Linked DNA regions of Macaca fascicularis. The protein of the gene in region 1 interacts with the protein of each later gene in a pairwise test. Links are inferred from orthologs where the notes say so. Each region holds a gene or a part of one and is shown in the gene's direction. Other genes may lie near its edges.

Region 1 (3,823 bases):
GGCGCCTGTAGTCCCAGCTACTCCGGAGGCTGAGGCAGGAGAATGGCGTGAACCCGGGAGGCGGAGCTTGCAGTGAGCCAAGATTGCGCCACTGCACTCCAGCCCGGGAGACAGACCAAGACTCCGTCTCAGGAAAAAAAAAAAAAAAAAAGGTTTTTTTGGAGAGAATGAATTATTCAGAATAAAAGGCCTCCTGATAATTTGGACTCTGTGACAAGTAAAAGTAAAATGTGAGAGTGTGTTACATCATGAAAATATTTTTAAACTCATTCTGGTTTACTTTATTAATAAAATCCTTAAAAACAAGAGGCTGAAGAGTCAAAATATAATTAATTACATCATCTGAAGTGAACTCCTTTGTTAAAACGATCTGTGGAAACCATTAACTCTGTTCTGTTTTGTTTTGTTTTGTAGCTGACTTTGGTTTCTGTGCCCAGATCACCCCTGAGCAGAGCAAACGCAGTACCATGGTCGGAACCCCATACTGGATGGCACCAGAGGTGGTTACACGGAAAGCTTATGGCCCCAAAGTCGACATATGGTCTCTGGGTATCATGGCTATTGAGATGGTAGAAGGAGAGCCTCCATACCTCAATGAAAATCCCTTGAGGGTAAGATCAATTAAACACCAGCCTTGTAAATATTTTTCTTGAATTTAAAGTAGAAAGTTGATAAAACCTAGTCTCTGCCCCTAACTCTTCATCTGAAAATCATTTGCTTTCTGAGTCACAAATTAATGTGCTAGGTGAAGACTTGGTAGGTTTTTAGTAGTAAGCTGTATTGTTTTGTGTTTTACATAGGAAGTTTGGAGCACCTGCCTCTAAACCTTCTCCTTCTTTTATGTTTTAAGATTTTTTGAGACAGGGTCCCACTCTGTTGCCTAGTCTAGAGTGCAGTGGCGCAATCTCAGCTCACTGCAACCTCCACCTCTCAGGTTCAAGCGATCCTCCTACGTCAGCCTCCCAAGTGGCTGGAACTGTGGGTGTGCACCACCACACCCAGCTGATTTTTGTATTTTTATAGAGACGGGGTCTCTCCATGTTGGGTCAGGCTGGTCTCAAACTCTTGACCTCAGTTGATCCACCCACCTTGGCCTCCCAAAGTGCTGGCATTACAAGTGTGAGCCACTGTGCCTGGCCACTTCTTTTTCTTTTAAATTACCATATGTGGTTCGACATTATCACTTATTAAGGAAATGTAAATCAGAACCTCAACAATCAGTGGCTGAGGCAAGAGAATTGCTTGAACCCAGGAGGTGGCAGTTGCGGTGAGCCAAGGTGGCCAAGAGCTACTGCACTCCAGCCTGGGCGACAGGGTGAGACTCTATCTCAGAAAACAACAACAGCAAAAAACCCACCCCAACAGGATAACACTTCCAACTACTAGAATTGTTACACTCAAAAAGACAATAATAAATGTTGGTGGCCAGGTGCGGTGGCTCACACCTGTAAACCCAGCACTTTGGGAGTCCGAGGTTGGGAGTTCAAGATCAGCCTGACCAACATGGAGAAACCCCATCTTTACTAAAAATACAGAATTAGCTGGGTGCGGTGGTGGGCACTTGTAATCCCAGCTACTTGGGAGGCTGAGGCAAGAGAATCGCTTGAACCCGAGAGGCAGAGGTTGCAGTGAGCCAAGATCGCACCACTGCACTCCATCCTGGGCAACAAAGCAAAACTCTGTCTCCATAAATAAATAAATAAATGTTGGTGAGAAGATAAACTGGAACCCTTGTTCATTGCAAAATATAAAATGGTACATCTGCCTTAGAAAACAATTTGACAATTCTGTATGAAGTGAATACTGGATTACCAGATGACCTAAGAGTTCCTCTGCTGGGTACAGACAGCAGAGCCAAGAGAATTACAATCATACATCCATACAAAAGCCTGCATGCAGCCTCAATTATTTCCACTAAAAATGGAAATAATTCAAACCTGCTGAACAGTGGAATATTATTTGGTCATAGGAAGGAAGTGCCAATCTGTGTTGCAGCACTGAGCCTTCAAAGTATGGTGCTAAGTGAAAGAAACTGAGTAACAGATGGCAGTAGATTCTGGCCCTCTGTATCCTGAATGCTTTTCATCCCGTTGCCAAAGATTCCAGTTCATGTGCGCAGTTAAAGTACTTCTCTAGAGGTGATTAATTAGGGTACTTTTCAGAACGACGTTTAAAGTCCTCTAATTTCATTCATTCATTTAGCCAGTATTGATTTGAGTACCTGCCGTGTGCTAAGCACTACTCAAAAGGCTGTCTAAAAGAACCCACACAAATTCCTGCTCTTACAGAACTTATATTCTAATGGGAAAAGAGAGAAAAACCAAATAAACAGAATAATGTGTAATATATTGAAGAATGGACTCTTGAGTGCTGAGACTGGCAGGAAGGAGGTTAGGGCGTTTACTTTCAAAAGGTGCTTGGAGAGCTGGGCACAGTGGCTCATGCCTGTCATCCCAGTATTTTGGGAGGCCAAGGTGGGAGGATTTCTTGAGCCTAGGAGTTCAAGGCCAGCCTAGGCAACATAGTGAGACCCCATCTCTACAAAAAAAATTTTAAAAATTAGCCAAGCATGTTAGTGTGTGCCTGTAGTCACAGCTAACTGGGACCATCCCGCCTCAGTGGGTGGGTCACTTGGTCCCAAGGAAGATGAGGCTGCCGTGAGCTGTTCTCACATCACTGCACTCCAGCTTGGGTGACAGCTAGGCCCTGTCTCCAAAAAAATACAATAAAAATAAATTTTAAAATTAAATCAAAAGCATGCATAGGGAGGGCTTCACTGAGGTGAGGTGACATTTGGACACAGGAAGTGCGAGAGTGATACTTACCTAAGGGGAAAGGATTCTAAACAGAAGGCACAACATGTGCAAAAGCCCTAAAGCAGGAGCGTGCCTGGTGTATCAAGAGGTGATGACGGACCTCAGCATAGCTGGCCTCTGCTGAACTAACAGCAAGAGGTGGCGGTCGATCTGCAGAGAAACCAGGCCAGGCTGTAGTGCCTTATGAGACCCTTGGAAGGATTCTGGCTTTTACTGGAGGCCAGATGGGGAAACTGTTAGAGAGATTTGAGCGGAGGAGTAAGTTGGTCTCCTTAGGTTTTAATAGGATTGCCCTGGCTACTTTGTTGAGAGATTCTTGAGGAAGGCAAAGGCAGAGCAGAAGACCAGTTAGGAGGCTGATGTAATGATTCAGGCAAGCAGTGATGATAGCCTAGACCACGACGGTATCAGCGGAGGTGGTAAAAAGTGGTGGGATTCTGGATGTATTTTGAAAGAGGAGTCTACATGGGAGAGAGAAGACCAACGGGATCTGTTCCCAAGTAACTTAACTGCTTTCCTGTACAAAGCTGAAGAATATTACAGGACTGCGCCCACAGCCAGGAGTGCGCTTAGGCTTCAGAAGAGGCTCGCCTCCAGTGGCCTTCACTGTGACAAAAAGGTATATTTGAACCCCAGTGAGACTGGTGAAATCACCAGCGCCAGCTCCTATCAGCAGATCCAGAAGCTTTCCAAAGATGGGCTGATCTTCTGCACGCCTGTGACTATCCATTCCCAGGCTGGATCCCCCGCCCCCCGCAAAAAAAAAAAAAAAAACCCTTGGTCGGGCACGGTGGCTCACGCCTGTAATCTCAGCACTTTGGGAGGCTGAGGTGGGCGGATCACTTGAGGTCAGGCGTGACCAGCCTAACATGGTGAAACCTTGTCTCTACTAAAAATTCAAAAATGAGCCAGGCATCGTGGCGGGCACCTGTATTCCCAGCTACTCGGGAGGCTGAGGCGGGAGAATTGCTTGAAACTGGGCGGCAGAGAGATTCTGTCTCAAAAAC
Region 2 (3,196 bases), on another chromosome or scaffold:
CCAAACCACCCCACAAGCTGTTTGTAGGACAGGCAGAAGTGAGTGCTTGTCTGGGCAGTGAGCTGATACCACTGTGCTGTTCTCTTTTTTCTCTCTCATGCCTTTCTCTCTTTTGCGTTTAAGATCGGAGCGCAGTGCTACTTGGAATGCTCTGCTCTGACTCAGAAAGGTCTCAAAGCGGTTTTTGATGAAGCAATCCTCACCATTTTCCACCCCAAGAAAAAGAAGAAACGCTGTTCTGAAGGTCACAGCTGCTGCTCAATTATCTGAGGTTGTCCGGGACCTGCCTCCACCCCACCCAGGCATGAGAATGGCAGCCAATGTCTGCGGCCAAGCTCCAGCCAAAAAGGAGGGCACGACCAGAAAGGAATTCCCTTTGCACGGAGGCTTGCCCCTCCACCCTGTGAGCCCTCCCAACACAGCACACTAGTCAGCCCACTGCCACAACCTCCCTGCCAGCCAGAAGCGTCCGTACTGCACACTCTCTGAGAATGCTGGGCCTGGATTGCAGACAGTGCCGCTGCTGATCAGATCAAAAACAAAGTCAAAGGCCTTTTACAAATCCCCAGCTCATGAACGCGAAGCTGATAGGAAATCACCCCAGGGAACCGGAAAAAGAAAGTTGGTTCCTCTCTTGGTGGCCTTACTTGATGTTTTACAAAACTTGGGACTACAATACTAACCTTTTTTTCTGAATCTGCTGTTCTACCCATGTGTCTCACATTCATTTGTATTATTTCAAGAAATGTACTAATTTCCAGTTTACTCAGGCCTTACAAATCCATACCAAATTAGCCTAAAGACAAGGCATTTTATATTCATTTCTATTTTCAGCATGTTTCTACCAAAGCTATTAGAATCAACACGTACCTCTGAATGCCTGATTATAAGAAGACATGAGAAGACTTAAAAGTTTTGGAAATTTACAGAGCCATGATTTTTGAACCTGATTGAAAGAAAACCATCTGAATTGTTGCAGGTCCACATTTTTGCCAAAGATGCACTCTACAAATGCTTAGTAGTGGCCTGATTTTTTTCCATATTATATTGCCATGACAAACTAAAAATGAACTGTGTTTAAGAATATAGTATTTCTGTTTTTCATCCAAGTTGATTGGGGGAAGAATATGGCAGGATCCATCTTTTCAGTATTGTGTATTCAGTAAAGTGGACGTTCCTGCTCTTCCCTTTCCCCATTGCATGCCTCTTCCTCCCTTGATTTCACTTTCTCTCATGCCCAGATCCTTTTTTCTCCCCAGTTATAACCCAGTTATAAAAGAAAGATCTGAGCATAAAAATACATGTTTAAAAATACCTAAAGGTAAAGGAAAGTGTCTTAATTTTTCTATTTACTTCAACTGAAAGGCTTCTAAGCTCGCCCCATGTAAGTTCTCATTCCATATCAGTGGATACCAAGCTCTGTATCCATTTGTCCCCTGCCCTCCACGATGTGTGACATAGAACACGGACTTTGGTCCTGGGAAAGCAAAAGCTCGCAGTAAGGAATCCTGTGCCAAACCATGTACAACAATTCCAAACCTCCAGGAATGTTTGTATCACAGAGCAAATTACTTCCTGCCTTTTCATTAGCGCCTATCAGGGCTTCTAATTAGTCTTACTTGCTTATAAGTGCCCTGGAATCATCCAGGTAGGAGCTTAATTTTTTTCAATTGCATGAGCAAAGTGCTTCTTAGTAGTATGAAATTACAACAATTTTAGTTTAAGACTTTCCAGATTCAAGCTCCCACTGTTGGAAAAAACCAGCCTTTCTAATCTCTTCTGCTATTGGAGTAAGCCCTTAAGAACTGCGTGATAGCCAGGCACAGTGGCTCACGCCTGTGATCCCAGCACTTAGGGAGGCTGAGGTGGGTGGACCACTTGAACTCACGAGTTCGAGACCAGCCTGGGTAATGTAGTGAGACCCTGTGTCTCTATAAAAAATTAAAAATTAGCCAGTTGTAGTGACACACACCTGTAGTCCTAGCTACTCAGGAGGCTGAGGCAGAAGGATCACTTGAGCCCAGAAGGTAAGACTGCAGTGAGCTGTGACTATGCCACTACACTCCAGCCTAGGTGACAGAGCAAGAACCTGTCTCAAAAAAAAAAAAAAAAAAAAAAAAACCCTACATTTCAAGTACTATTTCCCTTCTCTCCCATCTAATTGCTAAACATTTTCTTTCATATGCATACACTCCACTGACTAGAAAACGGGAGTTTTAAGTCAAAGCTTGACATTTAGAGAAAACAAGGACTTTCTGCCTTTATAAATGGAAATCAACTGTGTATGAACTATAACTCTGCAGAGGTGATGAACTCATCCTTTACAAACAATAATGAGTTTTAGTCCTGTAATAAATGAAATGTTACTAGGCAGCTTTGTTGCATGATTGCATAGTTACATCTTGCTAACGGGCCACTCGTTTCTCATTGACATGGATGAAAAATTGAGAGCAGTATGTTTCCAGGTGTGCGCACTCGACAGGCAAATAGCTCCCCAGGTCATCGCTCCCCTAATGGGCCACAGGAAGTAAGCTGATCATGATGGGGAGATCACTCTGTCACCCAGAACCAGCAACTGGATAGAGACTGTGGTTAGTGTCTGGGGGGAGCACAGGCTCCCAGGGGTCTTAGGAGCTAATTACTGAATAAAACAATCAAAAACAAAGCAACCTAAATAAGTTCATGTCATTCTGCCAAATTAATCAGTTATTCCTTGTTTCATGGCAAGATCCAGTTTGTTTCACTAAAAAGTGTTTTCTGCTATAAGATTAAACTGTATTCTGAAACCAAAGATAAGAAGAGACATAGAGGTCAGGCACAGCGGCTCACGCCTGTAATCCCAACACTTTGGGAGGCAAAGGCAGGTGGATCATGAAGTCAAGAGATCGAGACTATCCTGGCCAAAATGGTGAAACCCCATCTCTACTAAAAATACAAAACTTAGCCAGGCATGGTGATGGGCACCCTGTAATCCCAGCTACTCAGGAGGCTGAGGCAGGAGAATTGCTTGAGCCCGGGAGGTGGAGGTTGCAGTGAGCCGATATCACGCCATTGCACTCCAGCCTGGGCAACAGAGCCAGACTCCATCTCAAAAAAGAAAAAAGAAGAGACACAGAAATTTGAAGAAGGATCCTTTAATGGTCCACACCATCTTCCAAAGTCCAGAAGTGGCAGCTGATATCCATCTGAAAGTAGA

Evidence for each region.
Region 2: the proteins of PAK2 (region 1) and RHOJ interact in binary tests that used the Homo sapiens proteins (3 or more experiments, as listed by UniProt). The two-hybrid records come from large-scale screens. The link is inferred for Macaca fascicularis from reciprocal best matches to the Homo sapiens genes PAK2 and RHOJ.

The regions. Positions count from the first base shown.
Region 1 is NC_088376.1:2,236,326-2,240,148, forward strand, and holds part of PAK2 (serine/threonine-protein kinase PAK 2), read left to right. Parts: intron 1-414; coding exon 415-611; intron 612-3,823. UniProt on the Homo sapiens protein: Serine/threonine protein kinase that plays a role in a variety of different signaling pathways including cytoskeleton regulation, cell motility, cell cycle progression, apoptosis or proliferation.
Region 2 is NC_088381.1:131,104,027-131,107,222, forward strand, and holds the end of RHOJ (rho-related GTP-binding protein RhoJ), read left to right. Parts: intron 1-123; coding exon 124-270; 3' UTR 271-2,373; downstream 2,374-3,196.